Cricetulus griseus: one gene and its partner. The protein of the gene in region 2 purifies or fractionates together with the protein of the main gene of each other region. This does not show direct contact. Links are inferred from orthologs where the notes say so. Each region holds a gene or a part of one and is shown on either strand. Other genes may lie near its edges.

Region 1 (10,521 bases), on a different chromosome or scaffold from region 2:
TCTCATTCAAGGAATCTTGGTTCTGGATACTCTTTCATGAATACCAATGTGTACATACTAAAATTTTGCTACTCTTTAAAAGTGTGTTTTAATTTTTCCTTTTCATTTTTAACCAGTTCTAGACTTCAGACAAGACAATAAATAATTCATATTTCTACTTGTTTTATATGGAAACATTAAATTATGTATATAATTTTCTCAAAGACCTCACTAATGTGAAAGGGAAAAATGCTTTATTCAAAAATGTTCTTAATCTTTGGTCATGAAGTGTCATCGTTCCCCTTGTGATATTCAGAAGCAGCTCTCTCAGCTTCCTCAGAGGACTGAAAAACATACTTTTTAAATCTTCACCAAAGAAATATGCTTTGTAAATATCATATACTCTGAAACTTCAAATAAATGCTGTATTTTTAACTTGTTGCTTCCAATTTTTTTCAAGCACAATTTATCTTAATAAATCCTGTTACAAATATGGGGGAAGTGAAATAACAACCTCATCACAACACTAGTATTCATCAGAAACTCTCAATAATGAGAGAAATGGTAATATCTGGTTACCTGGATTAGTAATGACAGAATAGACCCGAATCCATACAGCTACTCTACGGATGTTAGAAAGTCATTCAGTTGTGCAGCATCATAGGCAAACATTAGTAAAGGTAAGGACGTTGCATAGCAGGTCACGAGACAGAGGGGACATGCAATGGCAGAAGAGGAGGAGCTGAGGACAGCTTCTGGCACCAGCTTCAGAGGGTGGAGAGGGGTTAAGGTCACAGCCCAGACCATTCTCGTTTTTGGATTTAGCTTCCAAGCCAATCATACATGAGGATACTTTAAAGAATATATTTAAGGAAAGAAAAAAGTCTGAACCAAATGAAATAAAATGTATAAAATAAATAATAGTGATAAGGAAAACCATGACGAAATAGAAACAGAAAATGTGCAAGGGTTTGGGGACTCGGTTGCCTGGAGTTAACACCTGCTTTAAACTTACTCATCCAATCACTGACTGTGCATGTTCATTTGATAAGTTCCTGAGGGACAAGAACTTCTAATTTATTTAGAACTTACAACACAATTTCAAAAATTCGTGGTTTGACAAGAAGTTGCCTCTGCTTAGTGCAAGTGACAATGCAATCCATTAAAATGGGAACCTTCTGTCATCCCAGCTTTCTTCTGGGCTTTCAGGTCACTTAATTGTTAGACACAGAAGATGACAGGTACACAGGTGATCTCAAGAGAAAGATTATGGGGTCCAGGGCAAGGAGGGACAGACAGTAAACTATCTTACCCATCAGGATAAGGCAGGACAGCCTTCAGTAGGGAAATAATTTTTGTATCCAAGAGTTTATGTTTTAGATGGCAAAGCCAGTAGCATAGAAATAATGTCTCTCCAGGATCAGAACCACAAAAGAGCAAAAATTAGGAATTGCAGTTCCTAGTCACTGCAATGGGGTCAGTGGGAAGTTAATGACTTCCTATGTGCTAATGACCTATGAAGGGACAAGCCCACCTAGGCACAGCCAGGTTAAGAGGCAGATGGAAGGTGCTCTGGTGCTTTCTAGCTGAGATGGGGGTGTTGGCAGACACTGCAGTGGAGCTCAGAAGTGAAGTGCTCACCTCGCATGCACAAGGCCCTGGATAGGCAGCCCAGCACCACCCAAATAATCTTAAAAACAGAAGAATTGGAACAAACGAAATGCAATACAGCCGAAACACCATCAAATTTGGGGAGTTTAGGATGGCCTACTCCTGCAGTTGAATTCTATAATTATACAAGCATGCATCCATCAGTCTAACATTTTTGCCCTCGGAGTACATGAGGAGGTTCTTAATAACACCTGCTGAAGGACTAACTCCTCTGGTGCCACCCTGCTGCCCCAAAGAGGCACACCTTATAATCAAGCCAACAGAGGCCTGCTATTCCACCAAAGGTCTTCCTATAGTTGAGGTGACTATGGCCAAATCAAAAGACTGGATATCAGAAAACAACAAACTGATTGTACATATCTTCCACGGTGACTGCTTCGACAAAAACTCTATTTATATTCTCCTTAGCACCTCAGATATTCCCAAAAGGCATTTTATTTTAGGGTCCTGGCTTCTTTATCTAGAATTCCACTGAACACAAAATAGGTTGTTTGGGCAAACATTTAATACAGTAGGGATTAGCCATCTTGTAAAACTTCCCTCAAAAACCAGTGACTACACATGCTGCCTCTGGAGCTTCTCTTCAAACCTTAAGGATGTCTGCAGCTGGAACTGGGATCAGTGCCTACCCAGGCAGCAGCCAGCAGAGCCAAAGTATCAGAGGACAGATGGCTCTGCAGCTGTAAACAAACCAGCTGATGACATTCATGTGCCCTGGGAAGTGCTGTCTGTCATGCAGTCTATACATTGCACCAGAGCACTCACGGGGCTCCAAATGACTTTGGAGCCGATGCTTTCCAGCGACCTGCAGGTCTTAAGGTTCATGTTTAGAATCTTCTGGGTGGTACCAAATCTCTCCTTTGTCGGGGCATGTTTAACAAGTGGGAAAGCTAACATAATTCTGAGCAATACCAAGAGATGCAACCATTTTGGAGAGAAATAAAAGGGAATCTCCAATACCTATAAAGACAGTGCAAAATGACACTAAGATCAACTGTAAGGCCTATTCTCCAAAGAGCTATAGCAAGACTCTTAATGAGGCTGTGACTGCTCGTGCTGCCCCAAGTCAGTGCCATGCCTTGATGCGTCACGGTCTCTGAGACTCCTTCCAGCAACCCTCTCTCTGAGCAGTATACACTCCTATTTAAGGAAGAAAGAACCTGCTCATTATCAGGAACACAGTTACACACCACAGAGCCTCAACTATAACACTGATCTACCACTCCAAAGTTCATGATGTTTCTGGCTCTCAGTTTTTGCCCTCAGAAATGAAAACCCCTCTCTCAAAGCTGAATTTCAACGGGAACAGGGACAGCTTGATCTACAAGCATGCCATCTGCAGCACTTACCCCCTCAAGGACAGGGCTGCATGCTTTAAGTTATAAATGTGATGCTCTGGAAATGCTCTTTTCCTTTTTAAACCCCTTCTCTTTAGAGCCCAATAGACCTGCTGACCCCAATGTGTGATGTCAGCACCAACTGTTCCAGGTGCTAACAGAGCTTCGACACCAAGCATGTCACTTTAGCCTTGTTAATAAAAAAAGAAATGCTTCCATGAAACTATATACAACAAAAAGAAAATTATCTAGTCCTTTTGCAACTCCCCCAACCAGCAACTTCAGGATGCCCTGATGCAATGGGAACTTTAACATGACACATGTGGCACAGAAGCCATCTGTGTGCTCAAGACTTAGAGGACACTACCTTATCAAACAGGGTACCTGGCATTCACTCATGGTCCTTTGTTGAAGATAAGAAGGGAATGTTCATACCAAACAGATATTCACCTCCAGTCCATTACCTACAGAGCAAACCCCCATCGACGACTGCTAAACCCGAGTGGTGTGAACAGTGACTTGAAAGGATGTTTCCTATGTCACCCTAGAAGGAACGAATTGAATGCACACTAAGGATGATCCATTAACACTGAGGTCTCCTGAGATTAAATATTTGATAAGAAGGGATACTCTATCCTCTCCTGGAAATGCTTTAGTCTCTCTAAATTAATGGTCTTTGTGTGCTTCAAAAACCACTATTTTCAAGTTATTTTCAAGAAGAAGAACTTAGCATGATGGAACCACAATTCATAGGGCAAGATGAATCACCATCACCCAAGAGCCTTAAAGACAATTAAAAAGAAAAAAAAAAACAGAGGAAATAAATGGGGAAACGGGGAAGGGGTATTAAAAATGTTTTCAGACAATTTGAAAGAAAATAGGACAGATGAGAGAATAGGCCACATTCTTTAACAAGGGTGTAAGAGTTCAATCCCTTTACCTGATGCTGTTACCAGGAGGCTGTCTGAGGCACCGGGGCTATGGGATGAGGCACTAAGAGGGTTTATGGAAGAGCAAAAGGCAGTGGTGGTGGGAATGTCAAGGGAGCTGTCTGAACATGCAGGTTGGTTCAGTCCAAGGGTTTCAGCAGGCCAGGCACCCACCTGAGACGCAGCCAGGGCCGAAACGGGACAGCCCGCAGGTGCCACAGTTAAATCTATGGATGGTTTTGGTGGCAGTTGGGGGGAAGATGACTTAGGGATGTTCTCCTCATTTACTACCTTGGTCCCTTGTGGCAAAGTGGAGGGAGGTGAAGCCACAATTTTGTTATCAACTTTGGCCCCTGCATTGGAGGCCCTCAGCTGGGGGTGTGGTGGAGAAGGAGTTTGGGAGAGCCCTGGCTTTTTGGGAGGGATAGGAGGAGGATTTCCTCTGTCAACTCGTGCTGCCCCAGGAGTCTTTAAACCCGTTCGACTGACTGGAGGGCAGGTGCCAGCATCCCCTCCTGGGGATGTTCCCAGCCTTGGAGAAGCACCTGCTTGAGGGCTGGTGAATCTTGACAGTGCCTGGGTCACAGTATTCCGGGCTAGCTGCTTGGCAACTAGGTTGTCACGACTTGTAGGAGAGACATCTCTTGAGGGAGGACTTTGGGTGGTATTTCCATTCTGGTCTGGGTCATTAGCATTGCCCTGAAATCTAAATCTGGCTGCTTGGATTCGTGGGTTGAGACCTGGATGCAAAGGTGTGTTGGCACATGGTGAATGTAAACTGTGCACAGGGGGAGCCTGTGAGAGGCTCTGAGGAGCTGTGCCTGGTGTCTGGGCAGTGGCAGGGACAGTGCCACTGGGGGTTGTGGGTGTGCTATTTGATAGATCGGGGACGGAGCCCGTGCTTGGTCCATTTTCCTCAATTCTATTTGCACTTGGTGTCGGGGCAGTAGGTAGAGAGGTACCCAAGTCACTGTGGGAAGCCTGCCTGTCAATACCTGGTCTAATCAGTAGGGCACCTGGGCCCACATTCCCTTTTGTGTTTGTGGGAACTTGAGGGCTCCCTGTGGAAGGCTTTATGGGTACAGTCAAAGGCAACTTCTTCACAGGGTCAGTGCTTTCTGTCACTGCATCTGTCTGGCAAGCAACAGACTTTATCATGGGCCCTTCTGTTGCCACAGATACTGAAGCCAGGCGCCTATCTTTTGTCTTCCGTGGGAGGGAGAGGCCTGGCTTGCTGTCATTTCCCCTTTTCATTTGCTCCATTATTTTCTTCATCTTGTCTATCTCCTCTTTGAGGTCAGTGGTGTGTGCCTCTTCTCGGTTCAGCTTGGCACGCAGCTGTTCCCGTTCTGTATCGAACTCGGAGAGCTGTTTCTCCAGCTGAGCTTCCATTCCGGCGCTTCTTTGTTTCTCCACTGAGAGCTGGTCTTCCAACTCACTTGTCTTTTTCTTTTCCTCCTCCAGTTTCACCATGACTTCCTCCAGCTTCTGGGCCTCCTCCACGACTTTGCCTGAGAGCTGCTTACACTCTTTCACCAGCATCAGGACCACATGCTTGTTCTTGCCCCTTTCCTCCTCCAGGTGGGCAGCCAGCTTCTTGTGCTCCTGCTCAAGGGCCTGGAGCTGAAGCTTTTCCATCTCCAACTGGAAGATATTCAAAGGGAAGCCTGGATTAATAGACACAATAGTCTTTGTATCATAGAAGGGCTTTTTGTTAATTTCTGAACAAAGGCATGATTTGGGTTAGCAAAAGTGCCACATTTTGTTATGATTTTTGAAAGGATAATGTTTAAAGACTCATTAAAATGGGAAGATTGCCGTAAATGGCTTTATTAAAAACACCTACATGGCAACAAAAGGGAATTGTTTTAATCTATTAAAGTTAACTACAGTGCAAGAGAATCATAGTAGGATGCCTCAAATCACAGCGCAGAGTTCAAAAGGGGCTGTTTTGATGAGCAGAGATCAGTGAGAGAATGGGTGCCACTTAATGATGGTTCAGTGGCTGGAAATTACTTTGAGCTACACAATCAGAGTACTTAAATTCCAAGCTCCATATCTGCCAATGGTATTCTATTGCTAAGTTATTTATTTACCTCTTTGAGCATCTTTTGATGGGCTGGAAGTCATATGTAACCACATGTAAAGGGATTTTTAAAATAAAACTATAAAGAGATAGCAGATTATTTCATTAGAACTACAGTCTATGCTAGTGAGCCTAGAGACTGACCCTCAGCCTTTACTTGGATCCCACTTTGCAGTCCAGCTACGTTGTCTTTCCTGGCATTTCTTGAACTTGGCCCTACCTCTTGTCTCAGGGTCTTTGACCTTGTTGTCCTGTCTGCCTACAATCCCTCACACACCTTCAGGAGGCTCTCCTTCATGAAGAATGCTATGCATGTCACAGAAGTAACTAGCAAGCAAAACCTATGGCTCCCCTGCTCATCAAACTTATGTGTGGGGCTGATCTGCCTTTTCATCAGCTAAATGTATTGGCTGCTCATGAAGCCACAGGATTGACACAGAGAGTAAGCTTATAAAACCTTTATGTCTCCAGATGTGAGGGGAGGGCACTGAACCCAGGGCTGCATGCATGATAAAAGTGCCCTACCATTGGGCTACACTGCCACCCTGAGGTGATGAGATTCCTTCATAGTCACAGAAATCATCGAGCAGCAGAAGAGGTTGGCTCCCCTCTTTCCTTCAGGCTTCTGTTTGACTGTAACCCTTACAGTGAGGCCTGTTTTATGTCAACTTGATACCGGCCAGAATCATCTGGAAAGTGGTAGCCATAGTTGAGAAAGTACCCCCATGATCCTGGCCTGTAGCCTGTGGGGAATTTTCTAGATTGATGGATGGTGTTGGAGGGTCCAGCTTACTGTGGGCAGTGACAGCCCTGGACTGGTGGGACTGAGCAAGGCAAGAAGAACAAGTCAGTAAACAGCACTCTTCCATCATGCCTCTGCATCGATTTCTGCCTTCAGGTTCCTCCCTTGATGATGGACTGTGATACGGAAGTGTAAGCAAAAAACCCCTTTCCTTTCCAAGATGCTGTTGGGTCATGGTGTTTCATTACAGCAGTAAAAACCCTAAGACACGGGTTGGAGAGATGGCTCAGCGGTTAAGAGCACTGACTGTTCTTCCAGAGGTCCTGAGTTCAAATTCACGGCAACCACATGGTGACTCACAGCCACCTTGAATGAGATCTGGTGCCCTCTGCTGGCATGCAGGCAGAAGACTGTATACATAATAAATAAATAAAATCTTTAAAAAAAAAAAAAACCCTAAGACACCTTCTTTCACCTCCATAGAAAGCCCCTTTCTTGTTGTCCATACCATTTTTGTTTAGTATCTATCTGTCTTCTCTACAACATGACTTTATGAGTGGAAAGACTAAGAATCATTTGCTGTGTCCTCCAGACCTACAATAGTGGCTGGCACATGGTTGTACATGATAAATTGTTTAATGAATGAATGAAGTTAGCATTGTTGCTCTATAGTAATTTACTAAAAGAAACAGCTTTTCTGAGCACATGAGCAACATTTATAACTGCATTTTTATTAATGGCTATATATTACACAAAATAATTATCTTTGTGGTATTTTCATGTATGTATATATAACACATATATACAGAATTTAATCAAATTCTTCTCCAATTATCTTCTTTCGAACCTCCCCACCATTGGTCCCCTTCCTCTTCCTAAATAGTTTTTGTCATGGGGAATCTTTGCTATTAACTTTTGGAATCATCTAGGAGGTGTATTACCTCTGCGCATGTCTATGAGGGTGTTTCCAAAAAAGGAAAGCTCACCTTGAGCAGGCAGCGCCATTCCATGCACTAGGGTCCTAGACTGAATAAAACAGGGAAAGGGGGAAGCCAGCTGACCATAGCCACAATGTGACCAATTGTCTCACATTCTTGCCACCTTGCCTTCCAGAGCATGAGACACGCTATCCCCTCAAACCAGGAGACCAAATAAACCTGTCCTTCCTCAAATTGCTTTTGTAAAGAATTTTGTCAGAGAAATGGGAAAAAGAAATAAATATTTTCTTCCTTATGATTTTATGTCATATTTAGAAATGCAGAATCTACAGGAGAGAAAACGTGTAAGGTTTGTCTTCCTGAGTTGGCTTATTTGGTTTAAAATCATGCTCTCCAGTTCACTTCACTTTCCTAAAAGTAACATCATTCCAGTCTCCTTTAAGGCTGGATCACACTATACTATATACATAAACCACACTTTCTTCATCCGGCCATTCATTAATGGGCACCTAGGCCAAGTCCCTGTCTTAGTTGTCCTGAGGTAACATGAGAATTCCAGATTCTGTATGCTACCTTAGATTCTGTCAGGAATCACACATTCAGGAGTAGTAGCCAGTTACATTATTCTGACAAGTCCTCGAGATTGTTTATTTTCTACTGAGAAGTATGTGTCATGAAACTATGAAACATTAAGGGTATACCATGGGCTGCGATGCAGCAATCAGGTTGGCCCACCCACTGCACCTGTCCACTACAAACTATTTTCCTGTTAGTCCAGAAAGTGCTTCATGGGTCAAAGTGGATTTAGTTGTTTAAAGATGAAGAAAGGCTATTTTATCTCCTTTTGATATTGAAAACAAACACGTGGGCATAACCTAATTGTGTTTTGTATGACTGTGATTCACAGTTGCATCAAACAACATCATTAAGGGAACCATTTCTTCCTCCCTTGATAGTAATAACAACACTTTGAAGTTGTGTACAGTGTTTTAGATACAATACAAACACATAGACTACAGTACAGTATTAAAAACACTTGCATTCTTTGGGAAATGAAAAGATGTCTGGTACTTCCAGACTGTTCAACAGTTTACTGGTTTAGGCACAAACATGAAATGTATTCTCTGTAAAGTCAATACTTGGCTCAAGTCAAATTTTAGCTACCTACAGCAGAGGAAGGTAAAATGTTCTAAAGACCAACAACTTTGGGCAGTCCTAATATGCCTCTTCTGGAAGAATCCACTATGCTATTGCTCTGACAGTGTCATGAGACCATAAGAAGACCTCTGTTTAACCAGAGGTCACAGCTATTATTTTATTTTATTTTTTCTCCATTTTTAAATTTAAATTAGAAACAAGATTGTTTTATATGCCAATCCCAGTTTCCTCTCCCCTGCCCCCCACTAACACCCTACTTATTCCATACCATTTCTGCTCCCCAGGGAAGGTGAGGCCTTCCAGGGGGGGGGGTCTTCAGAGTCTGTCATATCCTTTGGGATAGGGCCTAGGCCCTCCCCCATATGTCTAGGCTGAGGTATTATCCCTCTATGTGAAATGGGCTCCCCACTATGCTAGAGATAAGTACTGATCTACTACCAAAGGCCTCATAGATTTCTGAGGCCTCTTCACTGACATCCACTCCACGTTCATGGGGTTTGGATCAGTCCTATGCTGGTTTCCCAGATATCAGTCTGGGGTCCATGAGCTCCCACTTGTTTATGTCAGCTGTTTCTGTGGGTTTCACCAGCCTGGTCTTGACCCCTTTGCTCATCACTCCTCCCTCTCTGCAACTTGATTCCAGTTCAGTTCAGTGCTTAGCTATGGGTGTCTGCTTCTACTTCCATCAGCTGCTGGATGAAGGCTATAGGATGGCATATAAGGTAGTCATCAATCTCATTCTCAGGGGAGGGCATTTAAGGTAGCCTCTCCTCTGTTGCTTAGATTGTTAGTTGGGGTCACCTTGCAGATCTCTGAACATTTCCCTAGTGCCTGATTTCTCTTTAAACCTACAATGGCTCCATCTATTATGGCATCTCTTATCTTGCTCTTCTCTATTCTTCCCCTGACTCAACCTTCCTGCTCCCTCATGTCCTCCTCTCCCCTAAGTTTCAGGTAGGTGTGTGTGTGTGGGGGGGGGGTGTCTGTGTGTTCTATGTGTGTATGTATTCTGTGTGTGGAAGCCAGAGGTCCATTCTCTGGCTGATTTCTGAGATAGAGTCACTCATTAAAGCTGGGGCTCACTGACTGGGCTAGACTGACCAGCCAGTGAGGTCCAGGGATTCATCTCCTCGCCAGTGCTAGATGTCTTGACCACGTTGTTTCTTCAGTATGGAACACCACACCTTATTTCTTTTATAGCTTTCATCTTCTATCTCAGAATCAAATTTGAGAAACCTCTAAATGAAAAACGTGTAACTAATGGCTGATATTTATACCCCAAACTCCACTACTATAAAAGTACCCACAAGTCTTTGGTAATTGCTGTTCTTCCATCAGTAGTGCCTCTACAATTCTACCTAGACAGTGAGACAGCCACACAATAGGCCCCCAACGTCACCATCACTCACTCTTCTCCAGCTTCCTTTACCACTCACTACAACAGATATTTCAAATCTTCACCTCTGCTGATGCAATGTTCCTGATGGTTTCTAAGATGACTCCTGGTACACCTTCACATGATTCCTTTACCAAGAAGATTCACTCACTGAGAGAATGGTTTCCATCTGTCCAACATTAGACTTTCCTTTAGTAATTAACTCGATTCTTTCCAGTCACTTCTTGGACTTGTTCCATTACTTACCACATTTCTCCTTGCAAATATCAAACATGTGCTCTGTAA
Region 2 (10,521 bases):
CATTCCCTCTCCTCACTGCAGAAAGTGCTATCAAGGTCAACTACATGCAACTCTGGATTCACTGGCAGCTACTATGAAGGTCATCAAAGCCGCACTCCTGATGGTTATGGGCTGGGGTAAAACTCAGACACACTGCCTTTAGGGCCAGGAGTGCTGTCAAATGTTCTCACGTGGCCACCCTGAGCCCTGGGACTTGGGCAACACCTCCTCTGGTCCCATGAGTCACAGCTGTGTGCTTAGGCACACCTCCCGGGCATGAAGACCAATGCCAACTCTCTTTCCAGAAGGCACTCGGAGTACAGCACAAGAGCCGCTCACATCAGGGCTGAGTTCACTCAAGATCCACGACCTCCCCAAACATCCAGGTAGCAGCTGCAGAAGCCAGACACACAGGTCCTCCAGAGCTCCCCCTCCATGACTTTGCAAATGTGTCAGGAAAGACTCAGCTCAGATTCTGCAGGGTGCTGAGAACAGACAACCCCTGTCGCCCTACGAGTGGGCCATGGAGAAGAGACAACTGACCACGGCTGACACTGGAGAGGCCCACAGAAGCAGCACACAACAAACATGTCTGTTTGCTAATACCGCCTGCCCCACACCTGTGTGTCTCAAAGCAGAAGCAAAGAAAGAGCCAGAGTCCCCCTATCAGCAGGACTGTCTGATTGAACAGCCCCTTATCACTGCGTGCGTGCGTGCGTGCATGCGTGTGTACGTGCGTAACCGCCCTGGATAAGCAGACTGCAGCATGGAGCGTCGTGCGCTGGTTCGCCCATGCTTGTGTGTTTACTGAGCTCTGGGAACCACGATGAACACTGAATTCTCCCCTCTAGTTGCAGCCCTGATTCCTAACGACAGTGCATGGGGGGGGGGGGGGTTGCACGACACAGGCGAATACGGACAGACGAACGGGAGGGACTGGAAGTATTTCCTCTGGGTTCTCTAGAACTTCCACAGTATTAACTCATTTCTGGTGGATTTGGATTTGGGGGTCACTACTGAGAAATGATTTCAATAGTTTAAGCCCAGTAAAACCTACACAGCCGGACAAACATGGAAATCCAAACAGCTTTCCCTACGCATGTGCCTGGCTTATGGAAGCCACTGAGATGAAGACACTGAGCCTGCCTCTGCTATAGGCGTTTTAATGGCCCCAACTTGTCCCGACAGCCACCTACAAAAGAACAGCCCTGCTCCCCTTGTCCCCCCTCCTAATCCCTCCCCACAAGAAAGGCAGCCAGGGATCTTACCTCCACAAACAGAGGAGAAATTATTGTGGACAAGCACTGAGAGAAAGGCCTCTTTGGGATGTCTTTCATCTTGGGGAAGAAAAGAAAAGGGGCCATTAGAAACAGGCAACACTGAGACAGGCAAAGGTTCTACCAAGGTATGGACTGGATTTTCCAGTGAACTCCTGGAAGTGATTTCTGTTACTATCTGAGTGAGACTGTCGACAGAGGGGCCCCACGGGAAATCACTGCAAGATACCAGGTAGGTGAGAACAAACTTGCTGCCCTGCCCTGCCCTGCTCTGCAGTCTTTTCCAAGGACACTCTGGAGGACTAAAGCCAGGTGCTCCAGGCAGCCATTGTATGAAAAGCCCGGTTCCCCCCACCTCTCTGAAGTTGCCTACCTCACCAGAGGAGGCTGTATGGTCACAAGTAGTCCACATAGCCTGACAACTGAACATAAATAAATAAATAAATAAATCTTCACAACATAGCTTTCTGTAAATTTAAGTGGAGACAAACCACCTCCTCAAGTCTGTATTAAATATCAACAATTAAAACTCCCCCATAAAATCAGCAATGTTATGAGAAGTCCAGCAAGTGCTCACAGAGTGGTCATGTGTGACACTTCCAGCGCCACCATGTGGCCGAGGGTCAGGAGGTGAAGGGCACACAGGCCAGCATCCACACTCTCAGGCAGGACCAATTCCCTGAGGGCAATGCCACCAAGGAGCTGCTTCGAGGAGCTCCACATCCACTCCCACAGCAGGCTTGTCCTGGGCGAGCATGGGCATGGGAGATTGCACAAACCACCACCGTACCTTATTTCTTTCCAAATCTGATGGCTGAAGAGTCCCATTCTCCAGATTCTTGGGATCTTTCTCCCGGATTGTGAAGATCCAGTCCCCAGAGTCACTGCCTCCAGACGCCTGGCCATCTGTTTCCCTTAACACAGAAATTCCACCAAATTCACCAACATGGGCTAGGCCATGAACCACACAGCCCATGCCACTGACCCCAGCCCCACTCAGTCGCCAGTGCCCCTCAGTCTGGAGGCCTCCCAGAACATCACAGAGGACGGGAAGGGGTGTGGCTCCTAGGATTGCCCTCGTGCTACCGGCCCACTACCACTATGCTGCCGCTGCCGCTGCTGCCTGCTGCTTGTGGCACAACAAGGTGCCACACCTCTCCTAAGTACCATCTGCCCCTTCTCTGTCCCTCACTTGAACCTCACTTTCTTTGCAGGTACCTTGTTCTCCTCTTCTCCCCTTAGGCCACAGCCCGTTCGCAGCCACGCCGAGCTACAAGTTAAGCAACTCTACTCACTATCTATCACTGTCCCTAACGCCACAGCCCCCTGGTGTACTGCCACCAAAACCCTACACACTGTCAGAGAAGGGGGTCACCTCCCTGCTCATTCTGGAGCCTGCTTGGCCCTCAGCAGCAATGCCTCACACTTGTCCTGTCACCTCCATCCTTTCCCACCGACAGAGCCACAGCTGCTCCCATGTCCCCACCGTCCTCTGATGCTGGCTTCCTAGAGGCTGACTCCCGGCTCTGACCCCTCTCCTTAAGTGACGCCATCTTCTCACAGCGCCAATTCCAAGGTCTTTTCTACAGCAGGGTATACATAAGTCTGTGTCTTCTGCCTGCTCTCAGTGCCACAACAATCCTTTAAGCTACGTGTCTTCTACACCATTCCACAGCAGCTCAAATTCCAACATGGCCCACATCAAACTGTTTGTGATGTGTTACCACAGTGACATTACTCCTCAGTGCTGAAACCTGGAACACCTTCCTTCCTTCCCTGCTTCCTTTACCCAAACCCTTCACTGGGGATTAGACCCAGAGCCTCCTATAACATGCTAGGCAGATCCTGAGCAACAATCCCAGCACTTTGTGTACATTTTATTTTGAGATGGTTTCAGCAAGGCTCTGGTAGCTGGGATTAGCTGGTGTGACAGGTCAGGACCTTGACACCTCCATCCACACCTACTGCCACAGCCTGGCCCCCAGCCCTGCCTCCACTCTCTTCAGCCTTCGCTGTTGAGCTAACCATCCAGTCAGTGGTCTCAACCTTGGTTATAAACAGTAACCAGGATCTTCAGACATGGGTGGGTCGCAGAGGCTTGCAGTCAGCTGTCCTGGCATGGAGACACGATGCTAGCTAATGGCTATGGGGCCTCCAGGTGCCTCCTTTCACTCTTACAAGACAGCCAGGCCACCCTCCCTCTAGCTCCTGTTTGGAGGGTGCCAGTCACTTCACACGCCAGTCGGCACAACGTGGTGCTTAGGGGAACCCGCTTTCAGTGAGTAACTGCCCCACACAGAGCAACACCGACCAGTCGCCAAAGCATTCTTTCTTTTCTCTTCAGCACTGCATACGAGGACTGTCTGTCAGTACCTTTAGAGGGGGGTATCGTCAGGGGTAATGAAGAGAAGGAAGCTATTGCCACAACTCTGCCTATGCTTCTAATTATGCAGAACTCACTCAAACCCCATGGCAGTGCGGGGACAAAGAACCTCAAACAAGGCACGTGTACAACACAAAACTCAGCGTAAGTCCAAAAGGAAGGGACACAGCCCAAAGCACAGACACTCGCATGCACACACAGTCCATCAGGAAGGACTGGTAGCTCCAGCCTGTGGGGCGGGGCCGCTTACACATCCGAGTCCTCCGAGCTGGAGTCGTCACGGCTCTGCTCCGCCTTCCACCTCTTGTACCTGTCGATGAGCTCGGTCAGGTAGGACGTTTTCTTTGCATTGCGGATTATGAACTTGTGCCTCAGTAATTCCTTGGCGGTGGGTCTCTGGAAAACACAAGCGTCCAAATAATCGTGAGAAGTGTCTTCTTCATCCTACTCTATTCCACCCGGGCAGCCAGACCACTGGGCTAAAACACCAGATCAGTCACTCCACACCTATGCCCAAGACTACAGGCACAAGGTAAATGTGACAGTTCCCAACATGGACAAAAACATTCTATCAGAACCATTAGGTTGAAGCAAGAGCCCTTCTACAGTAACTCCACAGAGGGAGAGCTTTGTGAGTACTGCCCGAGAGAGCTTCTCCTGGTTTCCATGGCACTGCCTGAGAGAGTAGCTCCTATTTTACATGGCACCTCATGACAAGTGCTGACTAAGGGAAATACATGCTCTTCATGACTTCCTACAGTGTTAGGCTAATACCACAAATTAAAACCAACTCAGTAATTAGACTCATCTAGAACAGGTTGGGGCAGGAGTCAGGAGATACACAACTGGTCGGTCACCAGCATTCCCAACTAGAAAAGTCAGTGTGTGAACCTATCCCTACCCCAGTGTCAAGGGCCGACAACTCTATCACCACCTGGACGTGGCACAACTCCAACTGAATGGCACACCCAGAGGTTAGCCAGTGGTTTCCCATCTACTGGCACAAAGCTCCCTCAACACAGAGTGGCCCAACCAGGGACAGACAGCAAAAGCACAGAGGTGCCAGCCAGGCACACCATAGTCCCACCTGCTCCAGATAATCAACGTTTTCCTCTTGTAAGAACAGCATGTTCCTCTAGCCATGATTTCTGAGAACCCCAGTGGCCTCCCCTTCTCCATCGTCCCAAGTGCTCCTATTCTCAGCTTTGCAGACCTTCTTGTCTGAAGGTCCAGGGACAAGCCAAGATGGAGGGGTGTACCCTAGTAATAAATGAGCACTGACATGCTTTAGAAGATGTGTACACACTTGGTCTCTTCCCGGATGCTAACATACTGTGGATGCTACCCTGTGCCTTGAGCAATCAAACAAGTGGACTTCATGCAAGACCACACCCACCCCAGTGACCAAATGCTGACAGATAGGCTGACCTCAATCTGCAGCCACGATATGATCAATTCCATTGCCTGAGCTGGTACCGACGGGGGAACTACTCTTGGAAAACTCAGCTTTTCTCACCATTTTCAGACAAGAGGCCAAGGGGACCCCTCATGGATATTCTTAGGGTTCAATGAAGCATTGCTGCCAGCTAACTCTGCTCAAAGAAACCCAAAACGTGGACACAGGATGCTACACGTGACACAAATTACATGCTGCTTTCAAAGGAAAGCCCCAGTTATCAGGAAAAGGAGGCAAAGCTCAATGTGGCTGGTGCGTGGGCTCTGCCACCGCTGAATAAACTCAGAGGGCCAGGGAGAGGAGGCAGAGATGGGCAGGTCCCATGTGTCTGATTTGTCTGCCTCACAGCACACGACAACTGGAAACAATATTTACTGCCATTATCTTCAGGCCAGCCTCTGCCATTACCAAAGTAGTTTTCCAGTTTACAGCCTGTTTCTCTCTGAGCACTAAAAACTTGCCGACCCTACTCCAGTTCTACAGAGAATATTCTCCAGGTTCAATGAGGTGTAAGACATTAGAAAACTCTAAACAAAATAATTACATCTTAAATCCCTAAAAGGTAAAATGGCAACAACAAAAGTCTCTGTAATTCCAAGAAATCAAACTCATTTGCAAAGATGTATGAGCTCATGGAGACAGTGGCTAACAGTGACTGGGACAACCCCAAAAGAACAAATTCAAACCAGCTGAGACCACAGAGACGGGGTACACTCACAAAGCTGGGCTCCTTATTCAAACAGGCCTCCACAAACTCCTTGAGGGGCTTGCTGTAGTTTCCTTCCAGTGTGGGAGGGTTGTTCTTTGGGATGAGGAATAACACCTTCATGGGGTGCAGCTCGGAATGTGGAGGCTCTCCTTTGGCCAGTTCTATCGCTGTGATGCCGAGGGACCAGATGTCTGCCTGCAAGGACCAAAGCATCTTTAAGACATGGAGAGAGAGAGAGAGAGAGAGAGGAGAGAGAGAGAGAGAGAGAGAGAGAGAGAGAGGAGAGAGAGAGAGAGAGAGAGAGAGAGAGAGAGAGAGAGAGACTGTCTGTCTGTCTGTCTGTGGGTCTGTTTCAATCTCAGGTTCTGAAAAAGAAAATCATCTTGAACTAAGAAGAAACACAAGCCCTTGGCATAATTTCAAGACAAAACACAGTGGGCAGATCTGTTGAAGCAAATGCCCCGCCCTATATAGCTCCTGACTGGCCGCGTCTATGGTAGGCATCGCGCCTGTGAGGTGTGCTCAGTACAGCCCTTGCAGCAGTGTTCACAGGAGCCGACGAGCAGGCGGAGCTGCTTGGGAGTCACCCCTTGAGCAGCGCCTGGTGCCAGGCACAGCTGTTCAGATCCAGAGGGAACCTTGGTCTCAACACCAGCTCTGTAGTCTTACAACATTAGAGAATTGCTTCCCTGAGCCCCGCCCCCTTGCTTTTCAAGAGGGAGGTGGTTACAGAAGGATATGTAAAGGGCCGACCACTGTGCCCAGAACTTACAGCAGCTTTGTTTTGTTTGATTGCTTTGGCAGTGCTGGGAATTGGACGTAGGGCCTCACGCATGCTAAGCAAACGCTCTACCTGCATTCAGCCATGCAGAATGTTTGCTATGAAGTGTGGTCACACATGGACATGGGAAACATTAACACATCACCACACAACCAAAATCACTACTAGCACTTCCGTACAGACTTCGTCTATGTGTCGTCATACAACATTATAAAATAAGTCACTAAGTCTTGTGGCCTGTTGTGTTGTGTGTTTCGTTTGGTTTGAGTTACTGACAGCCTTTTCCTAAGACTGCTGAATGCCCTTCACTACAGTCACCATTTAAGGAACCCACTGTGCACTGACTGAAGTGATTGGTACATGGGCTTAGGCAGCAGGGCTCCCCAGTGCTGAGTCTGAGTCTCATGTCAGAGTCCACGGGACCCAGGCTGAGAACACACCGGGAAAGACACATCAGATAGACTGGGAACACACAGCAGTCTTAGGGCTGCTCTACAGTGAGCAGGGCTGTCAGCAACTCAAAACAAACAACACAACAGGCTGGCAAACAGCTGACATGGGGACCTGCAGTGGAGGGAGACACCTCTGCTCACGTCACTGCCCTGTGAACTCATCACCAGGCCCTGAAGGGACAGCCTTCTCTCTTACACGTGGCAAGAGAAGGCCTGTTCAGGTGACTACAGGACTCGGACATTGCTGACCTTTAACCACTTGGAGTGGACTCACTTGCCATTGTAACTTTGAAAGTTCCAGAAACCCTTACGGCAGGGTACCAGTCAGAACCATGAAGGTGACAAGAAGCAAGAAAGCCACACATAGGAAAGCAACCTACAGGAGCATTAAGGAAGGCCTGACTCTCACCTGTCCTCTTTGGATCGTCCTAACCGAGAACAACCTGGTGCCATCCTGGCACTAAGGAGGTTGAGCCAGAGGAACTGAAAGTTCATGACCAAAATGGGTTATATAATGAAACCTTGTCCAAAAAAAAAAAACCAAAAACACCCAAAACTATGAAATATCTAAACCCAGCCAGGTGACAGATGTGTGGCCATGTGACAAGGCTTTAACTGCCAGCCGTCCCATGTCCTTCTAGCACTAGCCTGGCTAAGCTGCCCTTGCACCTGGAGCCTGTGCAGTCCCCCTGTGCATCTGAAGCCCACTGACAAACCTGGACACTGAGCCCATGAGCACCAAGCCATTTGGCACATAATCAAAGACCACAATAAGAATCCATGTGTAAACCCAACCTACCCTAACAAATGTGAGTAGGAAGACAGAAGGCGTCTCCCAAACATTCCACAAGCAGCATTACTTACTCTACCTCAGAACAAATAATTACATTACCATAGCCCATTAACTTAATGAACTGATTCTACCAAATCCCAGCAAACGTAACCTTGCCTATCACTACATTTACGACGTGTGGCACCTGGGGATTCGAATGAAAATCAGGTAAGGAGAGGACAGTCATAGCCCAAAACAACCAAGGTTGAACTGTACCACAAAGTCATTTTAGAGATGCTCTGGAATGACAGCAAGATCAGGAGAGCTCTCTGGCAAACAAAAAAGGGGTGGCTATGTGTAAAACAGAAATGGGTGGCCTGGGTTCCAAGTCCTAAGGGCCATGGTTGAAAAGCCAATTGAGTGCAACTGAAAGAGAATGACCTGCAATGAAAGGAACTTGGATTCTAGTCCCTCTTCTACCAAAATTCAGACATGAGCACTGACAGTGAGCTGTGGACAATACACCCACCTTTCTGTATGACAGAACTCAGGGAAAAGGCCTGGGCAACAAATGCAGAGAGCAGAACTGACTAGCCTGAAGCACACTTGCTGCTTTCTGGATGCCGGGGAAAGAGCTCCTACCCGAGCTACCACATCACCAGTCTCTGAGTTCTCTCAAGCCAGAACGTGGGACAGCTGCACCTTCACCCACCATGACATGCCATGACACCTTACAAGAGCCACCCAAGGTCCCAAAGGCAAGTTAGCCTATGTTCCACACACCATTTAATGAGCCAGGAAAGCTGCTACACATGGAGGAGGGTCCTATCTTAAAAAGAAGAGAGAGAGAAGAAAGAGTGACAAAGGCTTGAGCCTGGCATGCTAACACATCATTGCAATCTCAACACCAGAAGGCTGAAGCAGGCAGCTCACCAGTTTGTCAGACTCCAGCAACAGAGCAAAACCGTCTTCATAGGGGATGGGGACTGGCGGCTGGAAAGACAGCTACACATTTCAGAGCTCACACTGTTCTCGTAAGAATCCTGGTCTGGTTCCCAGCACCTGTGTCAGACAGCTTAGAGCAGCCTGACTCCATCTCGGGGATGACCTAATGCTTCCAGCCTTCCCAAGGATCAGCATTCATACGTGCATATTCACATAGACGAACGCACGCACACACGCACGTAAATAAATAAACAAACAAAAAACAATGTTCGACCTATGAGCATCCCTGAGTTAAATTTTTGCTGCTGTTGTGAAGTTTGGGACTCAGGAAAGCTACTTCTCTGCCATGATCATTGTTACTATGCACAGGCCGCTGACCCGAGCAAATGGAGTGGCCTATTACAAGGCTTCAAAAAACTAAAGGACCAAAAAAACAATGAACACGAGGTACAGAAGCTGAAAAACAAGCAACTGTGGGAGGACTGCAGTCTCCTGCTGTCTCACAGCCTCTGGGAGTAAGGACCTGAGACCAAAATGAGAACACATGGTGCAGTCACTATAGAATGATGCTTGCCCCATTCTGCCATGGGCTTCTCTGTGGATTCTCTGATGCAGTGGGCAGCCTCTGCCCTGAAGGATGCTCCAACCACAACTTCAGAGAGCACGAGCCAGCCCCTCCTCTTCCTTATAAGGGGTCACGTCCATCGTCACACACTGAAGCCACACCCTAAGGTGTGGCCACCACCCCAAGTCCATGGTCGGAACAAGATACCACTACACTCTGATTCTTTCTCTAGAAGCCCTATCTATACAGAGCAGGCTGAGCTCTGTCCAGGCCCTGCCCTTCATCACTGTGCCAAGATCCCACCCACCTTGGTGCTCCTGTGCTGCGGCATTGCCTGCCACGAGCCATCTATCCAGGGTCTGCATGTCTCAGAAGGCTGAAGCTATGCCCACCCTCGTATCTGCTCCTTCCTGGCCCCACCAGATCAAACACACACCAAGGCCAGAAGAACAAGATAGCCAATAGCACAGCGGGAGATGAAGAAGGAAGCTCACAGAATTACCTCTACAACCTACCTCAGGTACGGAAGGAAAGACACGGATGCAAAAATGAAAGGGGACAGACATCTGAATGTCGTGGGTCCACAGCACAGGCTCTCTCTCACCTTTGAGTCATAGGCTGACTGCTTAATGACCTCGGGCGCCATCCAGAAGGGAGTGCCCACGAAGGTGTTCCTTTTGATCTGGGTATCGGTCAGCTGGCCAGCTACTCCAAAGTCAGCCAGCTTCACTTCCCCATGTTCAGAGAGCAGAACGTTGGCAGCTGCAAGACAACCAAGCAGGGGGACATCATTACAGTTATACCCACCCAGGCTCACCCTGGGAGTCCAGGCATGCTTTCCCCACAGGGCACAAGGGCCTGTAATAGCAAGGTGCCCAGAGGTTCACAACAGTTCAGCTTGATGCAGAGTAGGCAGGACAGAGGTACGGAAGGCTCCGCCACTTCAGGTGTTTCAAAGAAATGAAAACAAGAGTAGCTCCTACCTTTAATGTCTCTGTGGATTTTCTTCTCAGAGTGTAGATAATCAAGTCCCTTCAGAATTTCTCGTAATATGGTAGCAATCTGAATTTCATCTAAAGGGCCAGGTTCTAACTAACAAGAAAAAAAAAAAATCATTTATTAGCCACTCAGATGTCAAAACAAGGTCCATGCTAAACAGACAGGATAATTAAAACAAAAGATGTCTTCACATAAAGCAGGTG

Evidence for each region.
Region 1: the proteins of Stk24 (region 2) and Cttnbp2 purify together in Homo sapiens (affinity purification with mass spectrometry; 3 studies listed by BioGRID and IntAct, with this or other methods). This does not show direct contact. The link is inferred for Cricetulus griseus from reciprocal best matches to the Homo sapiens genes STK24 and CTTNBP2.

What each region holds. Positions count from the first base shown.
Region 1 is NW_023276806.1:208,170,955-208,181,475, reverse strand, and holds part of Cttnbp2 (cortactin-binding protein 2), read right to left. Parts: intron 5,561-10,521; coding exon 3,928-5,560; intron 1-3,927. UniProt on the Homo sapiens protein: Regulates the dendritic spine distribution of CTTN/cortactin in hippocampal neurons, and thus controls dendritic spinogenesis and dendritic spine maintenance.
Region 2 is NW_023276807.1:271,168,191-271,178,711, forward strand, and holds part of Stk24 (serine/threonine-protein kinase 24), read right to left. Parts: intron 10,412-10,521; coding exon 10,303-10,411; intron 10,082-10,302; coding exon 9,924-10,081; intron 6,000-9,923; coding exon 5,814-5,999; intron 4,036-5,813; coding exon 3,890-4,035; intron 2,171-3,889; coding exon 2,047-2,170; intron 1,317-2,046; coding exon 1,248-1,316; intron 1-1,247. UniProt on the Homo sapiens protein: Serine/threonine-protein kinase that acts on both serine and threonine residues and promotes apoptosis in response to stress stimuli and caspase activation.